Linked DNA regions of Rattus norvegicus. The protein of the gene in region 3 purifies or fractionates together with the protein of the main gene of each other region. This does not show direct contact. Links are inferred from orthologs where the notes say so. Each region holds a gene or a part of one and is shown on either strand. Other genes may lie near its edges. The genes, in order: Nek9, Dnajb1, Ambra1, Dcaf7 and Bag5.

Region 1 (3,511 bases), on a different chromosome or scaffold from region 3:
GGTGATATAGTATCTCTTACCCCAGCCTCCCATTACTACAATTGAATGCCTTGTGAGATTGTTTTTTCTTAGAGGTTGTGCAGTAGGAGACATCATATCTGATTACTGTCAGGACTGCCAGAGCTGGCACTTTAAGAGGCTCCCAAGACTTGAGTCAGCTGAGGGACAAGCACAGTCACACCACTCTTACATACCTCAGGGCCCAGGCTTACCCAATCCTGGAAGGTTAACTACCACTTAACTATAGCTCTACCACCAATGGTTGCCAAATTTTTACTTCTATTCTAAAATTAAATGGCACACTTAAAGACTGTCTTTAGATTCAACCATTCTACTTGTGAAAAGAAACTAAGGCTCAAGGTTTTATACATATCCCTGGCCCGTCTGACACCCTTCCTCCTTCAGCCCTCTCCTGTAAGCTGTAGGAGGATATGGAGGTCCTAGCTGCTCCCTCCATACACTTTCTAAAAAATTGAGATCCTCCAGGCTGCTGTCTTTCTTCTAAAACTGTCGAGGAGCCCTTCATCTCAGAAAACAGCCAGCTAGAGATCAGAGTTGCCCCTTCCCAGTTTGTCTGCATAGTCTCCCCTCTACAGAAGCCTTCTCCAAAGAAGTAGGAGCCATTCCTAAAACAGACTAACAGGGAGCATCTGTTCATTCAACTGCAGCCCTATGTGTTATAAAACTTGAACTCTGTGTTAGGAAGAGTGACCTTCAAGCTGTTGGGCAGCATGATAGCATGATGAAGGAACTTGAGGGTTGTTTTCTAATATGATTTATGTATTACTTGGGTTTTTTTCCCCATTAAGTTTTTTCCTTGCAGGTGGATGTTCCAAAGGCCTTAATCATTGTTGCGGTTCAATGTGGCTGTGATGGGACCTTCCTGCTCACTCAGTCAGGCAAAGTGCTGGCCTGCGGACTCAACGAGTTCAACAAACTGGGGCTGAATCAGTGCATGTCTGGGATCATCAACCATGAAGTGAGTGGCCCTTGAGGTTCTAACCACGTTGCCAGAATGCTGGGCTGGGATTTCTTTGGTATTATAAGTTAGTGGCCATGGAATTTAACTCAAGAAGAAAGCAGTCTCACAGACATTGTGTTCAGAAAAGCAGCCAGCTGCAGCCAGCCACAGAAGAGTTCACAGCATGTGACTGTGTTCTGTTGAAGTTCAGGGACAGGCTAAATGAACTTGATGGCAATAGTCAGAAGTGCAGCTCTCTGTGGGGTTTATTATTATTACTATTATTATTATCATATTTCTTTTTCTTTATTGGGGTACATGAGTCTTAATCAAAAATCAGGTGAATCACCTGAGGGAATGACCTCTGTCTTGATCAGGGTGGTGGTTTTATAAATGTCTTCATACAGAGGCTAAGTGTGATGGTGCATGCCTTTAATTTTAGCACTCAGGAAGCTGAGGCAGGAGGATCTTTAGTTTGAGGCCAACCTGCTGTATGTAGCAACACTCCTTTAAAAAAACAAAGGCAAAAATCCCACAAATGTGTTTGTGCAGATGTGGGTCAAGCTGTGCAGTAGGTTTTACAGTTAGAGCTCAACACCATTGACTGCAGAGGGCAAGGAGAGAGCAAAATCAACTAAATTTAGTTTTGCAACTTGATGAAAAGTTGAGTTAATTTGTTCTTTTTTAAACTGTTTTATTTATTTATGTATTTGGGCATTCTGTCTGCATGTACATTTGCACACCAGAAGAAGGGTACCGGATCCCGTGGGACTATAGCTACAGGCAATAGCAAGTTGCCATGTGGGTGTTGGGAATTGAACTCCCGGTTCTTTGGATGAACAATGCTCCTTATCACTGAGCCATTTCTCTAGCCCCATGTTGAGTTAATTTGTGTGTAGTGTCTAAAGTCCATTCTCAGGAGAGCACAGACTCAGGGTAAAGGCTGGAGAGTGGGTAGTTTGAAAGGTAGTTAAGATGAAGGTTTGTGGTCAACTTTTTTATGTGGGGCTTTTATACCAATTCAGAGAAAGATGTATAATGAAGGTGAAATTAGATTATGGTAGCTGATTTCTTTGTAAGCTGGAGAGATTTTGCCCTGCCCTTGTTAGATAAGCAGCGGATGCAAGCAGTACAAACGTAGATTTTTGTAATCAGAAATCCCTGCTTCTTGCAACAAATTCTCCGATTCTGTGTTTTACTTGTTTCTTGTGTCCTGTTGAAGATTGAAAGCTATGTGGCATGCTCTCTTAGAATTTGCTTGAAAAGACTTTTCCATCCTCAGCCTGTCCCCGCCATCACCGTCCCACCCTTTGCTTCATGACCCTGTTGCTCTGTTTTACTTGTCTCAGGCATACCACGAAGTTCCCTACACGACCTCCTTTACCTTGGCCAAACAGTTATCCTTTTACAAAATCCGTACCATTGCTCCAGGCAAGACTCACACGGCTGCTATTGATGGTAAGCAGGCTCAGCTGGGTGCATGCCCTCAGAACTCGGGTGCTCTGTGCTATAGGGTGTTAGCTTTCTTGATATCTCTTCTGACTTCTCCCTAGTATTCAATATTAACTCACTAACAAATCAGGCATTCAAGTACAGATTTTTTAAAAATGATCTTTTTAAGTGCAAGATAAATGTGCACTTTAATAAGTACACCACACTTTAGACTGGAAAGATGGCTCAGGGGTTAACAGTCTTTGCTGATTGTCCAGAGAACCCAAGCATCTTTACCAGCATCCACTTTTGACTGCTCATAACTGACTATTAACTCCAGCTTCAGGGGATCTGATGCCCTCTTCAGACCTCTGAGGGCACCCAAACATGTGGCATATACACAGAGAGACATACACACATAAAGTCAATTAATAAATTATCTTTGTTTTGTTTTTTAAGCCAGGGTTTCTCTGTGTCTCAAATATTTGACTGAACATTGTCCTGAAACTCTTGTTGTAGAGCAGGCTGTTAAACTCTCAGAGATCTGCCTGCTTCTGCCTCCCGAATGTTGGGATTAAAGCTGTTGTGCACCACTATGCCCAGCCATAAATACTCTTAAAAAAAACATATTTCTAACATCTGAATTCTATGGTCTCTAATTGGCCCTTACTATAAGTATTCTAAATTAAGGTTCTGATTGGTCACACCACCTAGATACCCTCGCCTCAAGGTCACATGGGTAACTTGATATGTACACGTTCTAGTGCAGGAGTCTGCATTGCTGTACCGTCTTCTGTGTTTCATGACCCATTTGTGATTGCCCTTTATTTTTGCTTCTCTCTCAGAGCGAGGCCGGTTGCTGACTTTTGGCTGTAATAAGTGTGGGCAGCTGGGTGTTGGGAATTATAAGAAGCGCCTGGGAATCAACCTGTTGGGGGGACCCCTTGGTGGGAAGCAAGTGATCAGGGTCTCCTGTGGCGATGAGTTCACCATCGCTGCCACCGATGGTAAGTGCCTATGTTTCTCAAGCCTTCCAGACAGGTTTGAATTCTGGAAGAAGTTTTTTATGTAACTGGCATATGTTTTATGTCTGATAGAGTAAATTTTTTTAAAGGCCAG
Region 2 (3,985 bases), on a different chromosome or scaffold from region 3:
CCTATCGCTCGAAAAACCACTGTAGTCTAGTGCGCGACTTTGAAAGATTGTAATATATTCTGTGGAAAACATTCGGCAGAGCAAAAGCCCTCCCTGGGCCCTCCCGCAGTATGCAACCAGTGGAACGGTCTGGAAATCTGCAGCTCTGGAAAGGTCCCTGGCTCAGTCCTTGAGGAATGCAGGCAGCTATATGGGAAGAACCTGCTCCAGGATGGTTCTGGATGAGATGGGGATCCTATCAGGGAAGATGACTTCAAATTCGATAACAAGGTCTCCACGTTTCTCAGGTGTTTTGGGGAGGGGGAGGCCTTCTCCAGGAACTTTCCTCCGCATGCCAGGCCTGATGACATCTTTGAATACAACAGGAATGGTCCTGCCGTCCAGAGTAGGAACATTCACAGTGCAACCACAGAGAGCCTAGGGAAGCAAAAAGACAGTGTCAGGTAGCAGCTGGCTTAGGAAGCTTGACCCCTCCAGACCAGAACCATCCAGAGAAGGGTCAGGTCCACCAGACCAGGCCTTCCGAGACCCCACTACAAAGCTCCCCATGCTGTCAGAAACAGAGTGCCACCCCCACAGCCTGTTATCCTCAGTACCCATCTCTCTTCATGATTCCTCCTCCCCACACCCAGCACCTTACCTCCCGAAGGCTAATCCTGGCTGGATAAATGACATCAGAACCATCTCTCTTGAAGATATTGTGTGGCTTGTCCTTTAAAACAAAGACGATGTCAGCTGGAATGTTGTTCGAGGTCTGGTCCCCTTCCTTGGGAAAGGTGATTTTGGTCCCTTCTTTCCAGCCCCTCTTCACTTCGATGGTCAGGATCTTATCTTCATTTCGAATGCTCTTTCCATCAGGGTTCAGCCGCTTGTGGGAGATTTTCATCTTCTTGGTACAGCCGCTGTAGATCTCTTCAAGGGAGACCCGAAGGTCGTGGGTGACTGGGGGATCTTGCTTCTTCCGGGTGGGCTCTTGAGTAGGGCGGGAACGTCCAAAGTTCATATTGGTGAAGCCGCCCATACCCATCGGAAAGCTAGAGAACGGGTCATCGATGTCCATGCCTTCTTCCCCGTTGCGCTGCCCAAAAAAGGTATCAAAGGGATTCCTGCCACCGAAGAACTCAGCAAACATAGCATGAGGGTCTCCATGGAATGTGTAGCTGAAAGAGGTACCATTAGCACCACCACTGCTCCCGCCACTGGGGCCACCACCCTTCAGGCCTGGAAAACAAAACGGCAACTCAGGGTTACTGCAGGAGAGTCAGGACCCTTCATCCCAACACTTCTACACACAGATAAAACACAAAGCCCTTGAAACAAAGATCTTGGAACCCTAGCTCTCAAGACAGGAGCAGACTGATCTCTGCAAGTTCCAGAAAGCCAGAGCTCTAACATGAGATGCTGGAGAAATGGCTCAGAGCACTTGCAAAGGAACTATGTTCAATTTCCAACACCCACAAAGCAGCAGACCATGGTCTAACTCTAGTTCCGGGAACTTCAATGCCTTCTCTAGAAGCGTGTGATGATGCACGGAGGTACACACTCAAATAAATTAAAAAATAAAAGTTCCAGCAACAGTGAGGTCCTGTCTCAAGTAAATGGTAACATCTTGTTCCCTTGCATGTATTACTGTCAATTCTAAGTAGCACAAGAACTTGCTGTGTAGTCTAGATTAGCCTCAAGGCAATCTTTCTGACTCAGACACCCCCGGGGTGGGGGGGATTGTCACAACGTCTGCTTCCTTTGGAAACAGCTTACCCTGTAGCTCAGATTTGCAGCAAATTCACAACGTTCCTAATTCAGCCTCCCAAGTGGAGGTGTGAGCCCCAGTACACTGCTCTCAACAAGTTTTGGTCTTAGTAAAAAAGCAGCAGAAACTATAGTGTGTGTGTGGGAGGGGGTGAGGGGAAGGAGTTACGTGTATATTTTTAAAAGCTTTTCCACTTAAGTCAAGGACGAATCTCAAGTCTTTAACTCCCAATGGCAACAGGAACAGGAAACAAACCACCCCGTTTAACTTCGTGACAACAATTCAGTAGAAAGGTCTCTAGATGTTGGTGCCACCAGGTTGACGTGACTGCTCCATCCTCCCAGCTATGCTGTAACACCTTACAAAGAAGTTCCTACGCACTAGTACCAGAAAGGTTCAACTTTGGGTAAGCACCGAGCTTGCGGCTGGGAAAGGGAATCGACACTTGGGCAATTTTCATTCCCATCGCGACCGCCGCCCCCCGCCCCCGTCTGCAGCATTCCGGCGCTGTGCAGGCGGCCGGCCGGGAGGGGCTGCGGCAGACGTGCTAGAAGCTTCTGTGCTAGCGGCGCACCCAGAGCTCCTCCTCCCGTCTGAGGCCGCCGATTAGAGAGAAGGTGGAGGAGGCAGCGCCGCCGCGGGATCCCCGGACCATCTGTCCCCCGCCGAAGCCTCAGAGAGGCCCCGAGTGCCTCGGTTTCCTCGCCTGTCAAACGGCGGGTCACCCGGGCCGCGCGCACGCGTACCTTCCTCTCCATAGCGGTCGAAAATCTCGCGCTTGCGCGGGTCGCTGAGCACGTCGTAGGCCTCGGCGATCTCCTTGAACTTCTCCTCGGCGCCGGGCTCCTTGTTCTTGTCCGGGTGGTAGCGCAGCGCCTGGCGGCGGTAGGCCCGCTTGATCTCGTCGTCGGACGCGCCGCGGGCCAGGCCCAGCGTCTGGTAGTAGTCCTTGCCCATGGCCACCGCCGCCCAGCTGTCGCCGCCTCCGGCTCCGCTGCTGCCCCGTCCCGGACTCTATATACCCGTCCGGCGGAAGCTTCCAGATCCCGCCAGCCCTCCAGAACCTTCCGCCCCTCCCGATGCGTCGCCCCACACCGGCCAATCGCTGCAGCCCGCTGCGTGACGCAGCTCATCTGGGGTGGGACCCGGCGGCCAACGGCTTTCCGCGCGGGGCCACGCCCCTTCTCTCTCTCCCCTGGTCAACGCCTTCCTCGGACGCGCGCGCCGGCTGCCGAGGTCCCGCCTTCGCGGCGGATCCAGCCAATCGCGACCCGCTCTCCCTGATGACGCGAGGGGGCGGGCTACAGAGGCGGCCCTCCCGGATGGCCGCACCCTTTCCCCAGGTGATCGCCGCTGGGCGGTTCTGATGCGTGACTTATGGTAGCTACCTGATGTGTAACTCCAAGTCTTCCTGCTTCAACCCAGGGATAAAAATACGCACCCCGCCCTCTTCTGCCCGTAACCCTTTGTCTTCCCGTACAGGCCGTTACTGTAAAGCGAGGTGAGGCTGGTCTGCCTTGGGATTGCCCCAGTCGGGCTGGGTTATTTTACTTCCTACTAATTCCTATTGGAATTAGCTGGTTTCTTGGCGTTCTTGGTGTCACTTCCTTTGCAGAGAGTGAAATCTTTTTAAGATCCACTAGGTGCTTCGTAAATATTTCCAAATACTTTGACATAGATGTTTTTTGCTTTGGCTTCGTAAGCCTGGGATGATACGGTCAAGGACACTGCTGAGTGAGGAAGAGGACAGAGCTTCTGATATTGGAAGCTGGAGGAGTCAGTGGTGGTTCTTGCAGGGAATTGCCTGGAAGACAGTGCATGAAAGGCTGACAGTAATCCTAGCACTTTCTGGCTGTGTGACTTTGTGCTGGTAAAGTAGCCATTCTGGTCTCAGTGTGCTCATCTGTATAATGGGAATGGTCGCTGTATTATGGTTAAGTTGACATTATCCAGCATTTGTGAAAGTGCCGTAGACAGACAAGGTACAAAGGAGGTGTTCTTGAAAGGGATGATTAATCATCTTGTTTAGTGGACAACTGTTGACACTCACTTTCTGGCAGCCCTGCAGCATGAGAGTCTGATAACCCTTGCCTTAGGCACCCCTGAGAAAAACAACCTTAGCCATCCCATGATGGTATAGCTGTGTGTGTTTTGATTTCCCTGACCGTACTGACCCTGTGAAAGCTGAACCAGTTGAGTCCTCCTTCCCCCAAGATGGATTTGGGGCTAGGAAAC
Region 3 (4,274 bases):
TCCCTCGCCTCAGCCTCCAGAAAGTTGGGATTAAAGACATACAGTATCATTTTTGTTTGCTTATGTCTAAGAAGACCTAATCATAATTAGGTAATTGCCTTTTCTGAAGAGTAGCAAATACCTATCACATGGAAAATATTTAGAAATATCATATTGATTGTACAGAATGGAGTCTGGCCAGTGCAGTTGTTAGGATCAGCTACAAATCAAGTATGTCGGTAAATGCCTGTAATTCCAACAAGTGGGAGGCAGAGGGAGGAAGATAGGGTTTGAAGTAATATGGATTACCTAGTGAGATTCTGTTAAAAACAAACAAACAAACAAACAAACAAAAACCCCTCAGGCATGGTTACTTATAATTCCAGGACTCGGAGGCAAAAGGATGGCTGTGAGCTTGAGCTCAGTTTGGGCTACATAGTGAGTTCCAAGCAAGCCAGGCTACAGAGTGTGAGCCCCCACCTCAACCTCTCACAATCCCTCAGGCACACTCCAAATTTGGAACATGAAGACAAGCACATCAGAGTTTCAAAGTCATTCTTGGCTACATAGAGTTCAAGACCAGTGTGTGGGTTACATGAAATCCTGTCTCTAAAAACTAATTAGTTAACTAACTAGCTACTTAGCTAATTAAAAGCACATTTGTGGACTGTGGCTTTAGATCTTTGGAAGAAAAAAAAAAGAGAGAGAGAGAAGTGAGAAAAAGAAAAGAACAGGCTGGGAGGTTGTGGTGCTCACCTTTAATCCCAGCACTCCAGAGGCAGAGGCAGGCAGATCTGGGTGAGCTGGAGGCCAGCCTGGTCTACAGAACCAGTTCCAGGATAGCCAAGGGTACACAGAGAAACCTTGTCTGGCAAAACAAACTAAGTCAAATCATAAAAATTTAAAAACAAGGTACAGGAACTTTCCCCTCCCACCTTAAGCTGTTCTATGTTCTCCTGGATTGAACTGGGGCATTCATAGAGATTATTCCGTTTTCTTCAGCTCTGAGAGGAAATCAAGAATCAAAAGAAGCGAAGTCATTTGTTCAACTGGGACAAGTAGTGTAAGAAGTCTGTAAGTGTAGGGCAATCGTTGAACTATTAAGGAGAGCTTTATTCTAGTATGATTTATCTTCAATCAACGTGTTCACAAAAGACTAATTCCTTTTTCACTTAAGACAAGGTCTCATATAGTCCAGGTTGGCCTTGCTCTTAACTGAGTATGACTTTGAACTCCATATCCTCCAAATGCCTCCTCTTCCTAAATTCCTGGGATTACAACCGTGCTTGCTGTCTCCGAAATTTAGTTCTCTAAATTACTTCAACACTCGGTCACCAAGAGAAAATGGCAGAAACCCAGCCTACTCTATGCTTTAGCTTATGATCTGAATTTGTTTATTTATGCCTAGGAAGGCAGCGGGACTTGCAGCAGGAGCTGAGCAATGTTTCGGCACTCGGCTGCAGTTCCTTGAACGATTGCTTGGGCGCTCTTCCTTTGATGTCTGGGCGTTCGTGTGTTCGATGATCTTTTGCAGCGTCTTCTAGGTTGATGTCTCCAGAGCGGCGGCGGCGGTGCCAGGTCCTGGACTGAGTTATCCGGGAGACCCCGGGCTCTGGCCGCTTTCTTCCGCTGGTCGGTCGAGCGGGCCCCTCGCTTCCTTCAGCCTCTCCCCGCCTTCCGTCCGTGGCTCCGTGCGCTCGTTGGCCTTCCGGCCAAGCTCTCACTCGCCTCGCAGGTAGGCCCGGGAGGAGCCTGGGAGGCCCGGTCCGGCATCCTTCCGCCGAAGGCAGGAGGAGACCTTGGCGCCGGCCGGTGGGCGAGCGCGCGGCCCGTCGGGGCGCGCGTCGTGAAGGGGGTTGCGCCTGGGGGCGCGGCCGGAGGGCTGCCCGGAACTGAGGGAGAAGCCGGAAGGAGGGAGAGATGCTGAAGCTATTGGCCGGGTTCTGTAGAGAGGGGATGTCTGGTCCTGGACTCGTGTCGTCACCCCTAGATTGTGGGAGCTTGGCTCTCTTAGACCCAATTCTCTCTCTCCTTTCCTGCAACTCATGTTCCGGACGTCATTCCTCAGTTGCACTGGTGACCCACGCTGAGGCTAGCCTCGGAGTGCCCTTTGAGTTGGTGGAGGCTCTTGAAACTAGGCCCTCCAGCTCCTTGGAACGAAATGTCAGGTTCTATTCTTTTGGAGTAGGGAAACTGAGGCTGAGGTATGGGACCTGACTTTTCCCTATGACCCCGACAGAGCATTAAATATGCTGTTTGTTTTTGTCTTTAACAGTTGACCCTTCTCTTTCTCCCATTTTACTGGTCACTTTTAACTTAACAGTGATTTCTCATTTGACTACTTGGAACTCTTCTTTCTTAAGAAACATTTATTGTGTTACTGGAGGCTTCAGACATTAAGGGAGCAAGGAATATTTTTTGACTGGATTTGTCTTTTCGAAATTTGTATTTTAGCAAAAGTAGTAAGGATAGTTTGTTTTTGTTTTCTCATAAATAATTTTGTTTACTTCCACTTTACTTCTGATTAATACTGATTCCACTCTTCAGCTTACTCTAACTCTTTTCTGCTATGGGATTAAGTACTTAGTGCAAGATGGAAGATGGTTAAGACTTTGAACTTAGGTTCTTGGGAAGGTCTTTTCTAGGAGGTATCTAGAGGGAGTCTAAGGAGACTCTTTTGAAACTTTTTTTTTTTGTATTTGGTTAGTAGTTTAGTCATTTTATTAAGAGTTCAAAAGTCTGTGTAGAAACTATTCAAACTTAGTTAAATTGAAAATGAATCTTTTTGTGAATTTCACTGTTTCTCTTTTCTTTCTCAAGGTCTTAAGGTCAAGTGTTTTTGTTAATTCTGTTTGATCAAGTGTCATGATCCTAGTCATTCTAGGTTGGATAAGTTTCCACAGTATGTAAAATTCATAGGAGAATGACTTTAAGGTCGTAAGAAATTCTGTTTCTACACAGTTTTAAGATGCTTTATGAACTTTGGAAAGATGATAGAATTTTACATTGTTTCTCTAATTTTTTCTTTAATGTATGTGTAAGGTTAGTGAGGCTTATTATTCTTTCTCTTCTTTAGTAGTGCTGGGAATTTTGAACCCATGGCCACATACACATGCTCTGTCACAGAGATCTACCCCTGAGATTGGCAAGATTTAAATGAAGGTGATAGATTGAATGATTGGTTGATTGCCTGTTTGTGTGTGTGTCTGCACATGGGCATGCCATACATGCATGTGTTTGTCAGAGGACAATTTTCAGGAGTCTGTTCTCTCCTCCTAGTCTATAGTGAACTCAGGTTATCTGGCTTGACAGTAATCCCATTTTATTTTCTGAGCCATTTTGATGGTCCATGAAAATCAAATCTTTTGATCATAAGCAATTTCTTAGTTATAAGGACCTTGGTACTTTTTATAAGTGTGTAGATTCTTGATTGGGTAATTAGGCCAAAATTATATCTTCTTTGAAGAGAACTTTTATTATGGAAAAAATATACCAAAGCAAAGAAAGTAGAGGTAGAAGTAACATTGCCTGCTGTGACTTTATAGTTGTAAGTGTGTCTTAGTGACTCCCAATGAGTGACAGATAAGAAATGGTGATTGCTGTATATGTCATGAAGAAAAAGGTTAGAAACATTTTGAATGTTTCTGTAAGAAAGAACCAGCAGAAGTTTAAGTTGAATTGAGACAGATAAACTTGGTGGTGGGTGAGGTTATAGGAATGAGACTCTTAAGCTTCTCTACTTTTCTTTATAATTCATACAAGTTTTGCTTGATTAATTTTCGTATATTTTTTTGGTTTGTGTATGGTTGTTTTGGAGTTTTTGAGGCAGAGTGGACCTCTTGTGTTCCAGGCCAGCTTTAAATCGACTGTGCAGCTGAGGATGACCTTGAGCTCTTTGATCTTCCTGCCCCTACCTCAAGTACTGGATTACCAGTGTGAACCACTACTTGATGCTATATCTTGGGAATTACCAAAGTCAATTTGGGCCGTCTCCTGGCATTTCAGAAATGTTCACATTATGACTGAATCATTCTGTATTTTGCTAAGATGGTTCCTGTGGATAAGTAAGAGATATAAGCTTCAAATAGCTGTGGCTGTACATACTTTAAATTCCAACACCCCAGAGACCGATGTAGGAAGATTGTGAGTTCTAGGTCAGCCAGAGTTAACATCCTGAGACTGCCTCAAGAAACAAAAACAACAACAAAAATGAACACAAGACAAAAAAAAGACGAAAGCCTCTGAATGTTTTCTGGATTGTGGCTGGACCAGAGTTACTGAAATAAACTGCTTTT
Region 4 (3,982 bases), on a different chromosome or scaffold from region 3:
GGCTCTTTGTATTAAAAAAAAAAAAAGAAAGAAAGAAAAAAAAAGTGCAGAGTAGACTTGCTCCTACGGGTGGCCGTTACTAAAAGATGATTGATAAGTGTATACCCTGTCCCTCGAGGCTCCCAGTGTTTGTTTCTGTTAAAATCACATGCATTACAAGTTGTATTTTATGGGCTGGAGAGATATAGTATAGACCTCAAGAGCACTGGATGCTCGTGCAGAGCACGTGGCTTGGAGCCCTGGCTCTCAGATGGTATCTCACAGCCATCTGTAACTCCAGTTCCAAGGGATCAGATGCCTCTTCCGACCTCCGTGGACACTTGTCCACATGTGGTACACTTCCACTCAGGCACATACAAATACCCATAAAATTAAATAACGTATCTTAAAAATTGTGTTTTATAATGCTGCCTAAGCATTCAATATCGTTAAAAGCATTTACATTTATAATGGTGTACCTAGATCCAGGCTTTTCTGCATTTCAAACTCATGGCATATAGATATTTAAGGTTGGATTAGCATTTGGGTTCTGAACACCCCAGGAGAGGAAGGTAAGTTACTAAAAGCCAGGTCCATTGCAAATCAATCCTAGAAGTCAGGAGTCTTTTTAGTATGTATTTGAAAGCCTTAATCAAACTAGCCTGTCCCTGAAGGTCTCTATCAGGCCTGTAAGGGAACAGTTAAAAAGGGGGCATTGGAGCTAGAAAGAGTTCTCGGCTGGCAAAGGCTGAGGGACCGCTGGACTTAGGGCGATGAAATAAAGGCAGGAGGTCATCTATGAAAGTGGATTTGACCGTTACTCTCAGTGGATAGAGGCGATCAGAACAGCAGCAGCAATGGAGAAGTGGCAGGCTTTACTCTTGGCCTAGAATGTGGATCAGTAGCGGGGCACACTTGCCCCTATGTCACCCACGCCCCCATTCACCCGCACTGCGCCGTTATCCGTCTGACTGACATCTTGGGTAGCCAATGATCTTTGGGACTTCAAAAGAGCCCGCCTCCAGGAGCTGGGCGGGGCGAATAAGTAGAATGACAAACATTTTGACCAATTGTGTGGAGGGTGCGGGCGCTACCACTGTGTCGACCAATGAAAAGAAGGAACAGTTTAGAAAGGACGTGCCCGGTAGCCAACGCTCGTCGCCGCTGTGGGGTCGCGTGGCTTCCGTTCCGAGAGGGCGGGCCGACATCCCAAACGGAAGGTGGTAGTCGCTGCCCGAGCTGGTTTGAAACTGGTGGTCCGGCCCGGCCGAGTGTGTGTGTGTAGCTGAGGACCTGCTGGAGGGCTAGGCCGTTCTTGACCGCCCGGGCCCCGCCTCCCCTCGGACCCGCGGACCCAAGCCCCGCTCCCCGCCCGTCTTGTGCCTCAGCCCGCTGCCTCTCCGGCCGTCTCTGCGGCCCAGCCGCCACCATGTCCCTGCACGGCAAACGGAAGGAGATCTACAAATATGAAGCGCCCTGGACTGTGTACGCCATGAACTGGAGCGTGCGGCCGGACAAGCGCTTTCGCCTGGCGCTGGGCAGCTTCGTGGAGGAGTACAACAACAAGGTAAGTTGTGAGGGGGCTCAGCTTGTAGCTGGCGAGGAACGCTCGAGGTGGGCGGCAGCCCCAGATCTCACAAGTCTCCTGCGAACTCGCCTTTACAAGGGGGTGGGTCCTCTGAGGTCCTGTTGCTGAGGGTGTCACACTCGTTGCCTCTTATTTAGTTTTGACAGCCGGGGAAACCGAGGCACGGTGTTGTGACATGCCTGAGGCAGATAAGATTTTTGATGGTAGTAGCAGGTTTCAGACCGGAGTTACACCCCCCAAAGCCATGTCTTCCTCCGTCCCTCTCATTTCCCCCACTTCTGTCGCAGTGCTTCTGTTGCTAGGTGGGGGGCGGGAGAGAGGCAGTGGAGGAAGATGCGGGCGCTTGGATTGGTGGTCGTGCATTCCTGGCCACGCGAGATTTCTGTTGGGGCTATTTATTGCAAGATCTTCCCCATCTCAGGTGTTTCTCATGGATACAGAGCCCTAGTGCTAGGTTGTCATTGGTCACTGGTTTTGCTCCTCGATGTTCACCCTCCCCCAAACAGTCTATCCTTGGAAACCTTAGTCTGTGGCATTATCCCGCCATTATTTCTGAATAGAGAAAGATGACGTTTGACCTATTCTTCTCGTTGTTCCTTACACGTTGATTTGCAACATTGCTGGACATCATCACTCCAACAAAATGCTGGTAGAAGGAGAGTTTTTATATGCAGGATATAGGTTTGAAAGTATTAGGAAGAATTTTCTTTCCCTAATCTCTTACCTTCATTCTTTTGTTGTAATTTGGGTGAAAACAAATACGAACGACAGTAATCAGAGCTACAGAAAGCTGTGGCCAGTGGTGTTTAGAGCCAGTACTCTGGCTTACTCCTATGAACATCAGACTGGAGACAAATGACAAGATGGGGGGGAGGAGTGGAAGAAGTAGATGGTCTAGGATTTAACTATAAGGCATTGCACAGACCGAATTTTTATTTTTTCTGAGAGGGCTTACATGTTTTACATGTGAAGGTCCAGGTGAAAACATTTGAATATTTAGGTTCATTTATAGTATTTCAGGAGCACACATGTTTCTCTGGGTAAAGGTCCCCGTTTCTTTGGAGTCTTCTTTGAGAAATGGATGAAAAGAATGGACTTTGATTGCCCAGACACCACACATATACAGTCCCAGGGAGTGTGTACTGAGCTGCCCTTTCCTAAGGAAGAGCCTTATTTCTTTTCTCCTCTCTAGTGGCTTTTGTCCCCCTCCCCCCCGCCCTCCACCCACAGTGGCAATAACCCTGTAGCTGTGTTTCAGGGTTCTGGTGTCTGTAGTGTTTGTAAGGTTAAGACCACTAGAAATATTATTTAAGGATTCTTGTTAGAAGTAAAAGTAAAATATTCTCAAAGGACTGTGGGGTTTTTTTCACACAAATTAATTTTTTCCCCTTTTAAGTTCTTCCAGAGTTTTTTATCTAAAAAAGGAGAAGTTGAGTGCCTGCAGAGGCCAGAAGAGGGTGTCCCTGAGCTGGAGTTGCAGGCTGTTGTAAGCTACCCAGTGTGAGTGCTAGGAACCGAATGACCACAGGTCTTCTGCAATAGCAGCAAGTGCTCTTGTCAGCTGAGCCATCTCTCCAGTGCCTCATTTAAAACTATGAACATATCCAGTGCCTCCTGAGGAGCAAGTATGTAATATAAAATAACCCTCGAGCTGGGCCTGGTGGCTGTCACCTGTAATCCCAGCCTTTGAAAGGGTGAGGCAGGAGGATTATTATAAGTTTGAGGCTAGCCTGGGCTACATAGTGAGCTCCCAACCAATCAGAGTTACAAAGTAAGACCTTGTTTCAAACAAAAACCCTAGAAGCATGCATCTTTCCTTTGATTTCTGTGGATAATAAACATATACCATTCCTATCTTAAGAGGTTATTATGTTTTGGGACAGTCTCATGTAGCCCAGGTGGGATTTGAACTCCTTATCCACCTGCCTCCACCTCCCAAGGGCAGGGATTACCAACATATGTCGCCCTGTTCCACTACCTTGTGGGTTTTGTCTTTCTAAAATAAAAGTGCCATATCTCCTTCTTTGTTTGTTGTCATAAGCTCTGTGAAGAGAGAGAATTTATTCCACTTTAGGATACACAGTGCTGATGTGGAACTCCATAGTGGTCATTTAAGTGTGGGATAAATGTCTGTGTTATTCAAATCAACCAACACTTGGAGTCATTAATCACTTTCCCAAGCTGTTGGTGTAACCAAACCATGCACGAGGTCCTTGGTTAAATCCGCAGAACAAGAACAAAAACCTTTCTAACTAAGTTATCTGACTCTACCTCATCTTAACACAGAAAGAAACTGAGACGAAGCAGACAACTCATCCAAAGCCACACGAACTGGGGAAGGCATGGCTGTGACTATCATGTGCTAGAGGGAGGACTTTTACAGAGAACCAGGGCTAACTCCTACCACCCACATGG
Region 5 (4,070 bases), on a different chromosome or scaffold from region 3:
TTATAATAAGTGTGCTGGGAGACACAGCGTAGCAAATGAAAATTTCCACAGCAGGCACATTTTGCAATTCTTAATTTTCTCTGTTTCTCTCTTCCCCTCCCTCATTCCCTCTCTCTCTCTCTTTTTTAAAGATGTATTCATTTATTATATATAAGTACACTGTAGCTGTCTTCAGACACACCAGAAGAGGGCATCGGATCTCTTTACAGATGGTTGTGAGCCACCATGTGGTTGCTGGGAATTGAACTCAGGACCTCTGGAAGAGCAGTCAGTGCTCTTAACCTCTGAGCCGTCTCTCCAGCCCCTCATTCCCTCTCTTAATTATTGCTTAATCGAAGCTCTCCAGTCTCTATCACTAGCCTAGTGGCAGGTGAAGTGTTAGTAGCCACTGATTAATGTTTTCATCTGACGGATAGACTCAAAACCTAGGCCTTCCTTAAACAGAACATCCTGTCGCAAAGAAGTGCAACTGATTTAATAAAAAAAAGATTTATTTATTTTTTATATATGGGAATACACTGTCACTGTCTTCAGACACATCAGAAGAGGGTATGGATCTCATTACAGATGGTTGTGAGCCACCTTGTGGTTGCTGGTAATTGAACTCAGGACCTCTGGAAGAGCAGTTAGTGCTCTTAACTGCTGGGCCATCTCCAGCCCCGGAACTGATTTTTAAAAAGGCTTCACGTCCTTTCCTGCTGCAGACAAGCACTGTTGATCTCTGACATCACGTGCATATTTACAAACAATGCGAAGTCTACACAAGTGAGATGATGAAGTCGGCCACCGCTTTAAACCGAACACTAGTCTTAACGAAGCGGAAGTGAGAAAACACACTTCAAGAGCTGTGTTGATACAAATGGTATTTAACTTGGTAGAATAAACAAGATTCGCACTCTCCACAGCGGATCCGCTACAAGGATCATTAGCCTGCCGGAGAGACGCGGGCGTCGTTGGGGTGCTCAGCGGCTTCCCTCCCTGCCAGCGCCCCGGCGTCCCGCTTACCCGGCTGGACGCAGCATCCCTGCGCTCCGTAGCGCGCTCACGGGCCAGCCGAACGCCGCCGCCGGAGAAGGACCGGCAGAGCAGCCGGCGAAGAGCTTTGCTTCCGGGCCGCAAAGCCGCCATGGCCCGCGCGTACGGCAGGATCGCGACAGTGGAAAGGTTGGCTTTACGGCAGCGTCGCAAAGCCTGGGGCGACGCGCGGCGAGGCCGACCCTGCGCATTCCCTGAGAGGGACGACCGGTTGCGGGGCCCGCACGGACGAGGAGGCGAGTTTTCTCCGGGCTCGGAGCTGAGGGGCCCGCTGTGCGAGGACGGCGACAACGCTGCGGAAGTGGAGGTGGCGGAGCGCGATGGCGCGTGCGGCACAGGTGAGCGCTGCGCGGGGGCGCGACCTCCGAGCTTCCGGAGTCGGGCACTTGGCCACCCTCGCTGCGCAGGCCAGCGCCCGCCGCGCGCCCATTGTGAGGTCAGGTGGCGGCGCGTCCGGCCCGGCCGAGACCCGGGAGCGGCCGCCGCGGCCAGTAGCTGCCGCCGCCTCCGCCGGCCCCTTCACCGGCTGCCCGGGTCAGACCTAGCCGGGAAGGGCGAGGGGGATGACGCTGGGGGCTCCGCTCCGGTGCCGCTCCCCGTGAAGGGCCGATCTCCCACCTCGCCGCCCTCCGCGGCAGCCAAGACCGCCGCCACCCAGACCTCTCGGAGTAAAGCGCTGCGAAGGCCGGGCTTGGACCCTCCCCAGGGACTGAGTTCTGTGGCCTGCCCGCCAGAAGTGAGCTGTTTGACAGAAACCTGAGAGCGTGGGAAATGCTCTAAGCACACTTACGGGGAGGCGAGTGACCGAGTTAATCGCAGTCGTCAGGTTTTTGCGGCGGGTACTTGAAGTCGAGGGCGAGGATTTGGACGTTTTCTTAGTTCCACTTTCTGAAAAGTAGCAAGTTTAGCTGTCTGTCCGAATGCTGCTCCTGTCAGTTTGGAAGAGCTACTTCCACAAGGGCACCCTGCTGGTTCCAAAGACTAGCTTAGGTTGGTGGGATTTCAGGAGATTGTGTTGCTGCTAACCCGGTGGGTTGACCTAGTATATGAAAGTGTATGCAGCTCGCTTTCATGGTTTAAGACAGAATTCATAGGCCTAGACATCCACCCAGGCTGGACCATGAGTACCTTCCTGTCTGTTCTTAAAATCCCTGCCGTGTTCCCTTATTTTCTTTTTGCTTTTGATTCTTGGTGTCACCAAGTAGTCCTTGGCGATCTTGAATTCGTAATTCTCTTTCCTCTGTCTCCCTGGTGCTAGGATGGTAGGCATACACCAGCTCACCAGCTTGGTTGGTTTGTTTTTTGTACCTGTTCAAAGAGGCAGTTGACATGTCACATCTTCCTTTTCCTCAAGTGTCTTTTAAACCTTTGACAAAACCCTCCGTGTGTTTGCTGCATGCCCAGCTGCCAGAGTTTGACCTGTCCACCCGCCATCGTTTCTGTGGTGTCCTTTGGTTTTGTTTTTTGAGGCAAGGCTTCTCATTGTCCTGGAGCCCCTCAGTTAGGCTGGCTGGCTGGCCAGTGAATCCCAGAGCTCCATCCGTCTTTGCCTCCCCGGCCCTGGGAATTTAACTGGGCACCGTCTTGCCTGGCCTTTCTGTTTTATTTTATGTGTGTTGGTGTTTCATTTGCCTGCATGGATGTCTGTGCACCATATGCGTGCCTGTAGAGTACAGAAAGGAAATCAGATCCCCTGGAACTGGAGTTACCATTAGTGGTGGTCATGAGTTGTCATATGGGTGCTGGTAATCAAACCCAGGTCCTCTAGAAAGCATTCAAGTCTCTTAACCACTGAGCCCTCTCTCCAGCCCCTTCCCTGGCTTTTTTTTGCACGTGTTCTGGAGTTGCAACCTGGACACTTGACTAAGAACTCTCTCCACAGCCCCAGTGAGCCCTTTTAAAAAGTGTACTAAAAAGGAGTGTTTGGATTGGGTTATTACCCTAAGAGACTAATAAGTTATCGTTCTTGCTATCTTTCAGTGCTTGTGAAACTGAACACACAAGTATGGATATGGGAAACCAACACCCTTCTATTAGTAGGCTTCAGGAGATCCAACGGGAAGTAAAGAGTATAGAGCAGCAAGTGGTTGGCTTCAGTGGCCTGTCGGATGACAAGAATTACAAGAGACTGGAGAGGATTCTGACGAAACAACTTTTTGAAATCGACTCTGTGGATACAGAAGGGAAAGGAGACATCCAGCAAGCTAGGAAGAGGGCAGCACAGGACACAGAACGCCTTCTCAAAGAGTTGGAGCAGAACGCGAACCACCCACACCGGATTGAAATCAAGAATATCTTTCAAGAAGCTCAGGCCCTTGTGAAAGAAAAGACTGTGCCCTTTTACAGTGGAAGCAACTGTGTGACTAGCGAGTTTGAGGAAGCCATCCAGGACATCATTCTGAGGCTGACACATGTTAAAACAGGAGGGAAGATCTCCTTGCGGAAAGCAAGGTACCACACACTAACCAAGATCTGTGCGGTACAAGAGATTATTGAAGACTGTGTGAGGAAACAGCCTTCCCTGCCACTTTCCGAGGATGTGCATCCTTCTGTCGCCAAGATCAATTCTGTGATGTGTGAGGTGAACAAGGCCAGAGGTACTCTGATTGCACTTCTGATGGGCGTGGACAGTTCTGAGACTTGCAGGCACTTATCATGCGTGCTGTCAGGACTGATGGCTGATTTAGATGCTCTAGATGTGTGTGGGCGTACAGAGATCAGAAATTATCGGAGGGAGGTGGTGGAAGATATCAACAAATTACTAAAATATCTAGATTTAGAAGAGGAAGCTGACAATACACATGCATTTGACCTGGGACAGAACCATTCCATTATAAAGATAGAAAATGTCCTCAAGAGGATGAGAGAAATGAAAAATGAACTTCTCCAGGCACAGAGCCCTCCTGAATTGTACCTGAGGTCCAAGACAGAGCTGCAGGGCTTGATCGGGCAGCTGGACGAAGTGAGTCTGGAGAAAAACCCCTGCATCAGAGAGGCCAGGAGAAGAGCAGTGATTGAGGTGCAGACCCTCATCA

Evidence for each region.
Region 1: the proteins of Ambra1 (region 3) and Nek9 purify together in Homo sapiens (affinity purification with mass spectrometry; 3 studies listed by BioGRID and IntAct, with this or other methods). This does not show direct contact. The link is inferred for Rattus norvegicus from reciprocal best matches to the Homo sapiens genes AMBRA1 and NEK9.
Region 2: the proteins of Ambra1 (region 3) and Dnajb1 purify together in Homo sapiens (affinity purification with mass spectrometry, with the first as the bait; 3 studies listed by BioGRID). This does not show direct contact. The link is inferred for Rattus norvegicus from reciprocal best matches to the Homo sapiens genes AMBRA1 and DNAJB1.
Region 4: the proteins of Ambra1 (region 3) and Dcaf7 purify together in Homo sapiens (affinity purification with mass spectrometry; 3 studies listed by BioGRID and IntAct, with this or other methods). This does not show direct contact. The link is inferred for Rattus norvegicus from reciprocal best matches to the Homo sapiens genes AMBRA1 and DCAF7.
Region 5: the proteins of Ambra1 (region 3) and Bag5 purify together in Homo sapiens (affinity purification with mass spectrometry, with the first as the bait; 3 studies listed by BioGRID). This does not show direct contact. The link is inferred for Rattus norvegicus from reciprocal best matches to the Homo sapiens genes AMBRA1 and BAG5.

What each region holds. Positions count from the first base shown.
Region 1 is NC_086024.1:110,688,087-110,691,597, reverse strand, and holds part of Nek9 (serine/threonine-protein kinase Nek9), read left to right. Parts: intron 1-823; coding exon 824-979; intron 980-2,310; coding exon 2,311-2,419; intron 2,420-3,237; coding exon 3,238-3,399; intron 3,400-3,511.
Region 2 is NC_086037.1:41,428,335-41,432,319, forward strand, and holds the start of Dnajb1 (dnaJ homolog subfamily B member 1), read right to left. Parts: upstream 2,808-3,985; 5' UTR 2,708-2,807; coding exon 2,497-2,707; coding exon of another isoform or gene 2,325-2,496; intron 1,222-2,324; coding exon 641-1,221; intron 418-640; coding exon 187-417; 3' UTR 1-186. UniProt on the Homo sapiens protein: Interacts with HSP70 and can stimulate its ATPase activity. Stimulates the association between HSC70 and HIP. Negatively regulates heat shock-induced HSF1 transcriptional activity during the attenuation and recovery phase period of the heat shock response.
Region 3 is NC_086021.1:98,155,158-98,159,431, forward strand, and holds the start of Ambra1 (activating molecule in BECN1-regulated autophagy protein 1), read left to right. Parts: upstream 1-1,468; 5' UTR 1,469-1,714; intron 1,715-2,025; exon of another isoform or gene 2,026-2,183; intron 2,184-4,274. UniProt on the Homo sapiens protein: Substrate-recognition component of a DCX (DDB1-CUL4-X-box) E3 ubiquitin-protein ligase complex involved in cell cycle control and autophagy.
Region 4 is NC_086028.1:91,472,720-91,476,701, forward strand, and holds the start of Dcaf7 (DDB1- and CUL4-associated factor 7), read left to right. Parts: upstream 1-1,180; 5' UTR 1,181-1,408; coding exon 1,409-1,546; intron 1,547-3,982. UniProt on the Homo sapiens protein: Involved in craniofacial development. Acts upstream of the EDN1 pathway and is required for formation of the upper jaw equivalent, the palatoquadrate. The activity required for EDN1 pathway function differs between the first and second arches.
Region 5 is NC_086024.1:136,590,470-136,594,539, reverse strand, and holds the start of Bag5 (BAG family molecular chaperone regulator 5), read left to right. Parts: upstream 1-1,261; 5' UTR 1,262-1,373; intron 1,374-1,815; exon of another isoform or gene 1,816-1,831; intron 1,832-3,015; 5' UTR 3,016-3,040; coding exon 3,041-4,070. Other genes in the region: Coa8 (cytochrome c oxidase assembly factor 8), read right to left, coding at 1,006-1,128. UniProt on the Homo sapiens protein: Co-chaperone for HSP/HSP70 proteins. It functions as a nucleotide-exchange factor promoting the release of ADP from HSP70, thereby activating HSP70-mediated protein refolding.